Caenorhabditis elegans: one gene and its partner. The protein of the gene in region 1 purifies or fractionates together with the protein of each later gene. This does not show direct contact. Each region holds a gene or a part of one and is shown on either strand. Other genes may lie near its edges.

Region 1 (3,208 bases):
TTCCTAAAAATTACAAGCTTCGATTTTTATAGTAAATTTTCAGTGCGATTTGGTCGTTGACGAGTATCTTCCACAATTCATCCAAGAGCTTGACGCCATTCTCCAAGATCCACACCAGGTTCGTTATCCATTCAATTATAAAAAACAGAAATTCCTTGGATTTGTCTAATTTGTAAAGTAGAAGATTTCAATATTTTCAGGTGTGCGTTGACATCAAGGCCTGCAACTCTGCTTCTGCTCAAGGACTCAAGGCTCGCAAATATGTGGGTATCCTCGGATATTTCCAACGTCACTTCCTATAAATATGTTTCCCATTAAGCTTTATTCTCCTTTTTTGCATAAACCTATTTTATTGTGAATTGTCTATTTTTCCCATGTTCCCTTCCATAAATCGCTTGTTTTGTCTATAAATCCCTTTGTTGTGACGTTTTGATTTCAGATTTTTAGGTTAAGTTCTTTAATTTATTCAATTGAATTGTTATATAAGTTCAGGTAGAAGCTTCCAATGAAGAAAAGGAAAAGGTTGAGAATGAGGTCGATGCATTCTGGAATGGAGCCGCAATGAAAAACAACAAGGGTCAGGTTAGTGAAATGATAGGGTACTGTATTTCTTGTTGTACCATAGATTGATTCTAAATTAGTATTTGAAACAACTATACAAAAACATGTTTACCTATTTTCGCGCATTTCAACTCAACTTTTTTATTCGCAGCTGTCAAGTATGCCACCTGCTATTCGAGGTATAATGGGTTTTTTTAAACTACTAATGAACAACCGTTCTACTTCATTCAACTCAAATACAAACTCAATAATTTAAAAATAAGCAATATAAACATTGGTTTGGGGCCAAACTGGAACTGAAGTGGGCTTCAAAATTGGGATAACGGGATTTGGAAGTTGAAGTGGGGGAAGTTCGTGGCGTGAGATGAAAGCAGCAACACCGCCACCCTGCTTCAACTTCATGGGACGACGAATTGCATCTTTATTTGACTTGCGTTCTCCGTTGAAGATGTGCGGAAATACAGTTATTGCGTCTATGTCACTATTTGAACTTTCAATAAGAAAGTTGTGAAGACGAATTATGTAAGAGGTGGCTTCTCTGAAATGCGAGGGTTATTTTTTTAATGAAAATCTTTGAATTAAGAAAACAAACAAGTAAACTTTCGTAGAGTTTTGAAAATTTTCTAAAAGAGATCTCATCTTATTGGGGAACTTACCTCAAGATTTGAACTCTGGAGAGTCGTGTTTTAAAATGTGACGGCGGAAGAAGATTAAGTAGAACATCAAACATTCCGTTCATCTCGGAAACTCTCTGTCGTTCTCGTCTGAAAGTTTACAATGTTTAATAAACCTTTGATGATGAAGCATGTGATTTCTGAGATATTGAAAAATGTGGGGCATTCTATCTAGAAACAGTTCTTCATGAAGCTTGAGTTCTGACCGGTATATTTTTTTCTAACTAATTTTCATATTATATTCAATTTTATTGCTAGGAGTCGTATTAACTACTAAAAAAATTCAAGAAAATGTTAATTTTATCGTAATTAATTTGAGAACGTACTCGTTTGCTCTCGATCTTCGATCCGTATTCAGCTTGGTAACTCTCGGTTTCTTCGCCATTTTAATAAAATTGTGTAAGATGACGCTATAAAAAATGACGAGTTGTGAGCCAAGTAGGAGTTGAGTAATGAAAAGAAAATGACAGATGTAACTGACCCTTTACCATCTAAAAAAGGAATCGTGTGCCGTCCCAACAGCCACCTGCTTCACACATGTTACCCTTCTACTGACATTGTCGAGACAAAGTCGGTAAATAATTGGAACATGATGATATTGCTCATAAGTTTATAGATGGAAAGAGATTTCGTTGTTATTTTGCAAGAAAAAGGGAATTTGATGTGGTTTCTTATTTTTCAAAATTTGAATAGAAGCAATACACTCCCATTTTTCAGACTCTCGCCATGTCCTGTTTCGAATGCAAGTTTGTTGTTGAAGACATGCAAACAGACATGATCACTAACAGAGTAAGTTTATTGCAAAAACAATTAAAATAGTTTCGTAACATAAAAACAACAATCCAACTGTGTATTTGTTTATTTCAATCACCTACACCAAAACAAATTTTTAAATGATTCACCTCTAGTGATTTCAGAAGAAACTTTCCGATGATGTCCGTGATTTCGCATGCTACAAGATTGTCACAGCCAACATGACTGATTCATGTATTGATTTCTTGGATTTATATCTCCCAACTGTTATTCAGATGACAGTTGAACAGGCAACTCCACAAGGAGTTTGTCTAGCTAACAAGTGTTGTCCAGCAAGTTCAGGTTTGCTGTAATAATGAGGTGTCCAATAATCGACCGACTATTTTTCAGTTGCCCCACTTCGTGATTTCACATTCCAAGAGATTCAAGCTGAAAAATGTCCGAAAATGATGGAATTGGAAACATATTTGAGCTCAAACCTTGTTGGAAGTGCCATGGAGAAATTCTTCGAAAACTCACTGACTGAGACTTTCTGCTCTGGATTATTATCATTCTTCCAACCAAGTGTAAGTTTTTATTAGTTTTTTTTAATGTTCTAAAGCTTAAATCTCAATTTTCAGTGTCAACAAATCATGTCATCTGTTGCTCCAAGATTTGTCAGTTTGACCGCAGTCCTTGCAAGCCAAAACAAATTCAGTCAGGCTGTGAGTTTGGGTATTCGAATGCTCGATTTTAATTAAAATATTCCAGATGAACTGCTAGACCTGAAAACATCAAACTTCTTCATTTCTCTGCTTGCTGATAACTGATAAACTGTTTAAAGAATAAATCATTTTCATGACAAATAGCTACAACATTGCTGAACTATCAGAAAAATTGAAAGTTGATCAATAACTTATGGACAATGAAAACATACCTTATTAGTGGCAAAAACAATCGATGTTTTACAAAACCTTCATTCGACACCGTTTAAAAGTAAAAAAACACACAGAACTTTCCAAAATTTATCAGCATTTCGAGCACATTGAAGTTTTTAATGGCAACTCTACCAACCTTTCTGAAACGTAAGACTTCTCAGTATCAGTGTGAGACTATTGAACAAGTAGAGGAAACGTGGTATGTCATTATGTGGATTTGAAGTTATTGCGCTTGTTATTTTGAAAAAGTTCACAATTATTTATCCACAAGTTGAAAATTGTAAAGCTTACGACATTACTGGC
Region 2 (4,111 bases), on another chromosome or scaffold:
ATTTCTTTTTAAAAATCTCGTGAAAACTTTGATATATATATATTTTCAAATAGAAAACATTAGAAAAATTTTGCTATCCGCGTATGATATGTTTGATATAAAATTAGTATACCTTTTTTATCATTTCGAACATATGTATCTTTGTGTATGTTCATCTGCATCTTACTTCAATTGATGCCCGAGAACCCTCTTCCCCCCCCCCCCCCCCCCTCTTTTTTGCCCTGTAGATATGTAGAAAGGTCCAGTTACTGCTGACTCTGCCTGAGGAGGAGAAATACAACAAGGATTGTCACACGGAAAACAAGAAGAACACATTACATAGATTACATTTAGAATGTGTTATTTTTACATAGTACATATCGTTGAAATTGGAAAATCAGCATATCAAACGCTGATCTCAAAAGATTGGAATGTTTAAACCGGTCAATAGATCAATAGTGAATATTCAAAGTTTGATGCAACTTTGGTTTTCTTTCCCACTTTCAAATTCAGATTGACAATTGGGTATACAAATATAATGGCCACACCGTTGTTTGTTTTTCCACTGAGAGAGTTTTGATCAATTAACCAGACTTTATGTTGTGCCAAATATTAAGTATGCTTGCGGAAACTCTAGCAATTTTGGTTTTTTTTTTTGGCAAATTATACTTTAGAGAGTCCAAATTGAAAAGTATGTATTTTGCATTCCTTAGACGGTTATCAAGTTTTTATGAAACCATCCCAATGTTACTTCTGAAGCTGTATAAATTTTTCACTGTAGAAGAATGTTCTGCGATAAGATACATTTATTAGTACTAATCTGTGAAGTAGATAAACCAACAGGATGGGAAAAAATAGTCAAATAAACAAAAAAGTCATCAAAATTTTAGAAAAGAATACAATCAATTACTGGAAAAATTGGAAAATGGAATGTCTCGAACGGTAATCAGAAATTAAGAATTTGAAAATAATATCGAAAATAGTATTTTCAACAGTGAAACATGGTGAGCATAGTGCTCATTTGATGAAGATGCTGTAGAATCTAGTCTTTCTTCATTCTTGTGGTGGTCATACGATAGATGATGGAATCCTTCTCTGGGTCGATTGAGGCCATTCCCACAACAATGTAGATGAGAGCCTGAAATTAATGGCATTTTTTGGAGTTAACATCAGTTATATGATGAACATTATTCTGTAATTTTCTACTTACCACAACAAGAATAACAACTAATCCAAGGAAGATAGCAAAGATTGCTGGATAATCAGAGGACACTGGAACAGTCACTTGGAGGTTTTCGCGAGCTAATTGGGTTGGCGTTTTTGATTTTGTGTCTCTCTTCTGAATGTTATGGTTTGGAATTTCGCGAGACTCGGTGCTTTTCTCGGCGGCTCCGGATTCAGCTTCGAATGCAAGAAGCTCGATGACAGCTTGTCCACCGTAAGCATTGTTGATGGATGCAGTGAGAGCCTCAATGGCGGCCTTAACGTCTGCGACAGCTTCTTCCTTTTGGGCAGATTCGGTGATTCCGACAAGTCCGGTGATGGAGACACTACAATAAAAAAATAATGTGAAACAAAGATTCCGGGATCTAACAGAACTTACCGGAAAACATCAGCATTGTTATCCATTTGTACTCCGGCGCTCTTGATGGCAGCGGCAAGTTGATAAACAGCCTCAAGTTCTTTGACAAGTGTGCTTCTCTTGGTCTTGATTACAGTAGCATCAACGGCTTCTTGTTGGGCGGCAAGAGCGAGCATTGATCCGGTAATTCCACCAGCCGAAACTTGCACATTTTCACGGTCGGCTCCAAAGATCAGCGCCATGTCTTGATCGAATCCAACATTCTCAACACCGTCGGATTTGGTTGAGTAGGTTTTTCCTCCCAAGTTCAGGTTGTCAGCTCCAATTACAGTTACGACGGCAAGGGCGCGTGGACGAGAGAACATGTCAACGGAGACCGAAAATCCTGAAAAACGATTCATCTTCTTTGCTTTATATGTAAAGTAACTATATCACTACTCACCATCAACTTGTCTTGCAGAAAGTCCCAGAATGTTCTCATTGAGAGTGGAAATCAGTGTGGTCTTCAAGGTTGCGTCAGCATCCGGGAACTTAAGGGAAGCCGGAGCTGCGATAATTTCCAGAGAAGATGCGGCACACGCGGCGACCAGAGCGGAGACGAGAAGAACAAACTTCATCCTGAAATTGATTGATTGAGAAAAACAATTAAAGGCATAACATGAAAATTGTTTTTAAAAAATATAATAAAATATATATCAGACTGTGATTTGACAACAGATAAAATAATTTAAAAATAGGGGAATAGTTTTAAAATGCAAATCGAAAAATTTATTACTCATAGAAAACATTTGGAACTGTATGGGTTACCAACTGCAGAAATTATCCCAGAAGAAAAGAAATTCATATCCCGTTTAGGACGAAAGGTTTACACATCACATAGGTTATTCCTAGAGAAAAGCAAAGCTGCGCGAGCAAAAAAACAAAAGACATCATCATAGAATTTGGAGACCAATAGGGCTAAAAAGAGTAGAGTGGGATGAAAATTCAAAGATTCAAAAATTCAAAAATTAACTATTGACATCGTGCGGTTTGATTAAAAAAAAACAAAAATCTAGTGGAATTTGCTAATAAAGCTCACTCGGGGTCGGTTTGACGCCGTTGGTAGTAAAACGGAGGAAAGTTATAAATTTTCAAAGAAAAATGATTAATATCTGTTATTAAGAAAACTAGGTAAGCAGAGTGGAGGATCGAGAACGTGAATTCTTTGGGTCCAGTGGATTTGCCTTGACCAGACGCGGACGGTTTATCATCACTTTGATCACTCCATTCAAATCAGCGCTGATAATTACCTGAAACAAAAATTGATTTTTTGATTACTAATAACTACTGCAAAGCGTAAAAAAATTATCTTTCTGGAAAGAATTCCTTCGGTGGTTTTCTGCACTCATGATTTATGTACCAAAACGCTTCTAGACCAATTTAAAAGTCAATAATTCATCAAAGGTCTCTTAACTACAAGCACTTACATGTCCTGGAATCGACAAATTGCCATTGGATGTTAGCGAATCCGATTGTCCCGGCAACACTTGCCCGCTGATATTAAAATCAATCGAGTCAGATTTGGAGTGCTTATCCCGCTTGTTAAGCATGTTGAAGAACACTTGAGGTCTTGGCGCGAACACGGCCACAGGCACAGGCGCGTTGTGTGTTCGCACCCGTTCCCACCACGAATTGCGATCCTTCCGGACTGATAAGGCGACGGTGGTGTCGCTGGCACGCCAAATGTAGACAAACTTGTCTTCTGAGCCGCAGATGATGTGCCGGCCGTCTGGTGAGAAGGCAGCACGGATCTGAGAGTGGTCGTTTTGCACCCCTTTGAACTTGCATGTGAGAGCCTTGTCTCGAATGTCATACATTCGAATTCGCGAATCATTGGATGTCACCTGAAAGTCATTTTAATTTTGCAACAAAATTCTTATCAAATTCTGTTATACATGCATAATCATTCAATTTTTGAATTTTCCACTTTGGGACTATTCTTGTTATAGTTCCCTATTGACCGATTCTTGAATTTAACTTACCAAAAGTTTGTCTCCATGAGAAGTCAATCCGGTGACTTTATGACCACGGGCATTTTTACCCCTTGTTGACCGTACATCCACAGCAGTGTGATATTTCAGTTGCTGAAAATTAATAAGGAATAAGTCATTTGCGCAGCGACAGCAATGCCAAAAATCGATAACCACCAGTCTGCGACCGATGATCACAAATTGGTTCTTATTTCTGCGTCCAAAGAATTTCAACTAAAAAAAAACACTATTTTTGCAAAACTCACATCAGAAGTATAAAAGATGCATTTTCCGTCATAGGTTCCTACAACCGCAAACTTTCCACTCTTCACAAATGTCATCGCAGTGATGTATTTCTTTTCAGTGTCATTCCAGACGGCAACTTTCTTATCGGGAATATGCCACATCCGCAATTTTCCATCCAATGATCCTGACAAAAAGTAACGATCGTCTTTTGGTAGAAAAGCAACACAGGTGACAAAGTCAATGTGCTGGAAGCAGCAAAGGCATTCATTGCGTGACAAATGCCACAATTTGACTG

Evidence for each region.
Region 2: the proteins of hlh-12 (region 1) and vha-20 fractionate together in Caenorhabditis elegans (co-fractionation; one large-scale study listed by BioGRID). This does not show direct contact.

The regions. Positions count from the first base shown.
Region 1 is NC_003282.8:8,477,827-8,481,034, forward strand, and holds hlh-12 (Helix-loop-helix protein hlh-12), read right to left. Parts: upstream 1,621-3,208; coding exon 1,562-1,620; intron 1,326-1,561; coding exon 1,218-1,325; intron 1,100-1,217; coding exon 814-1,099; 3' UTR 769-813; downstream 1-768. Other genes in the region: spp-10 (Saposin B-type domain-containing protein), read left to right, coding at 44-118, 201-263, 493-582, 1,953-2,024, 2,153-2,330, 2,379-2,554, 2,609-2,692, 2,739-2,750. UniProt on the Caenorhabditis elegans protein: Transcription factor which binds the E box motif 5'-GCAGGTG-3'. Involved in migration of the gonadal leader cells; distal tip cells (DTCs) in hermaphrodites, and linker cells in males.
Region 2 is NC_003284.9:14,162,328-14,166,438, forward strand, and holds vha-20 (Renin receptor-like C-terminal transmembrane spanning segment domain-containing protein), read right to left. Parts: upstream 2,180-4,111; 5' UTR 2,179-2,179; coding exon 2,004-2,178; intron 1,947-2,003; coding exon 1,583-1,946; intron 1,530-1,582; coding exon 1,190-1,529; intron 1,118-1,189; coding exon 1,022-1,117; 3' UTR 772-1,021; downstream 1-771. Other genes in the region: sym-4 (WD repeat-containing protein 44), read right to left, coding at 2,728-2,850, 3,028-3,444, 3,583-3,684, 3,837-4,111.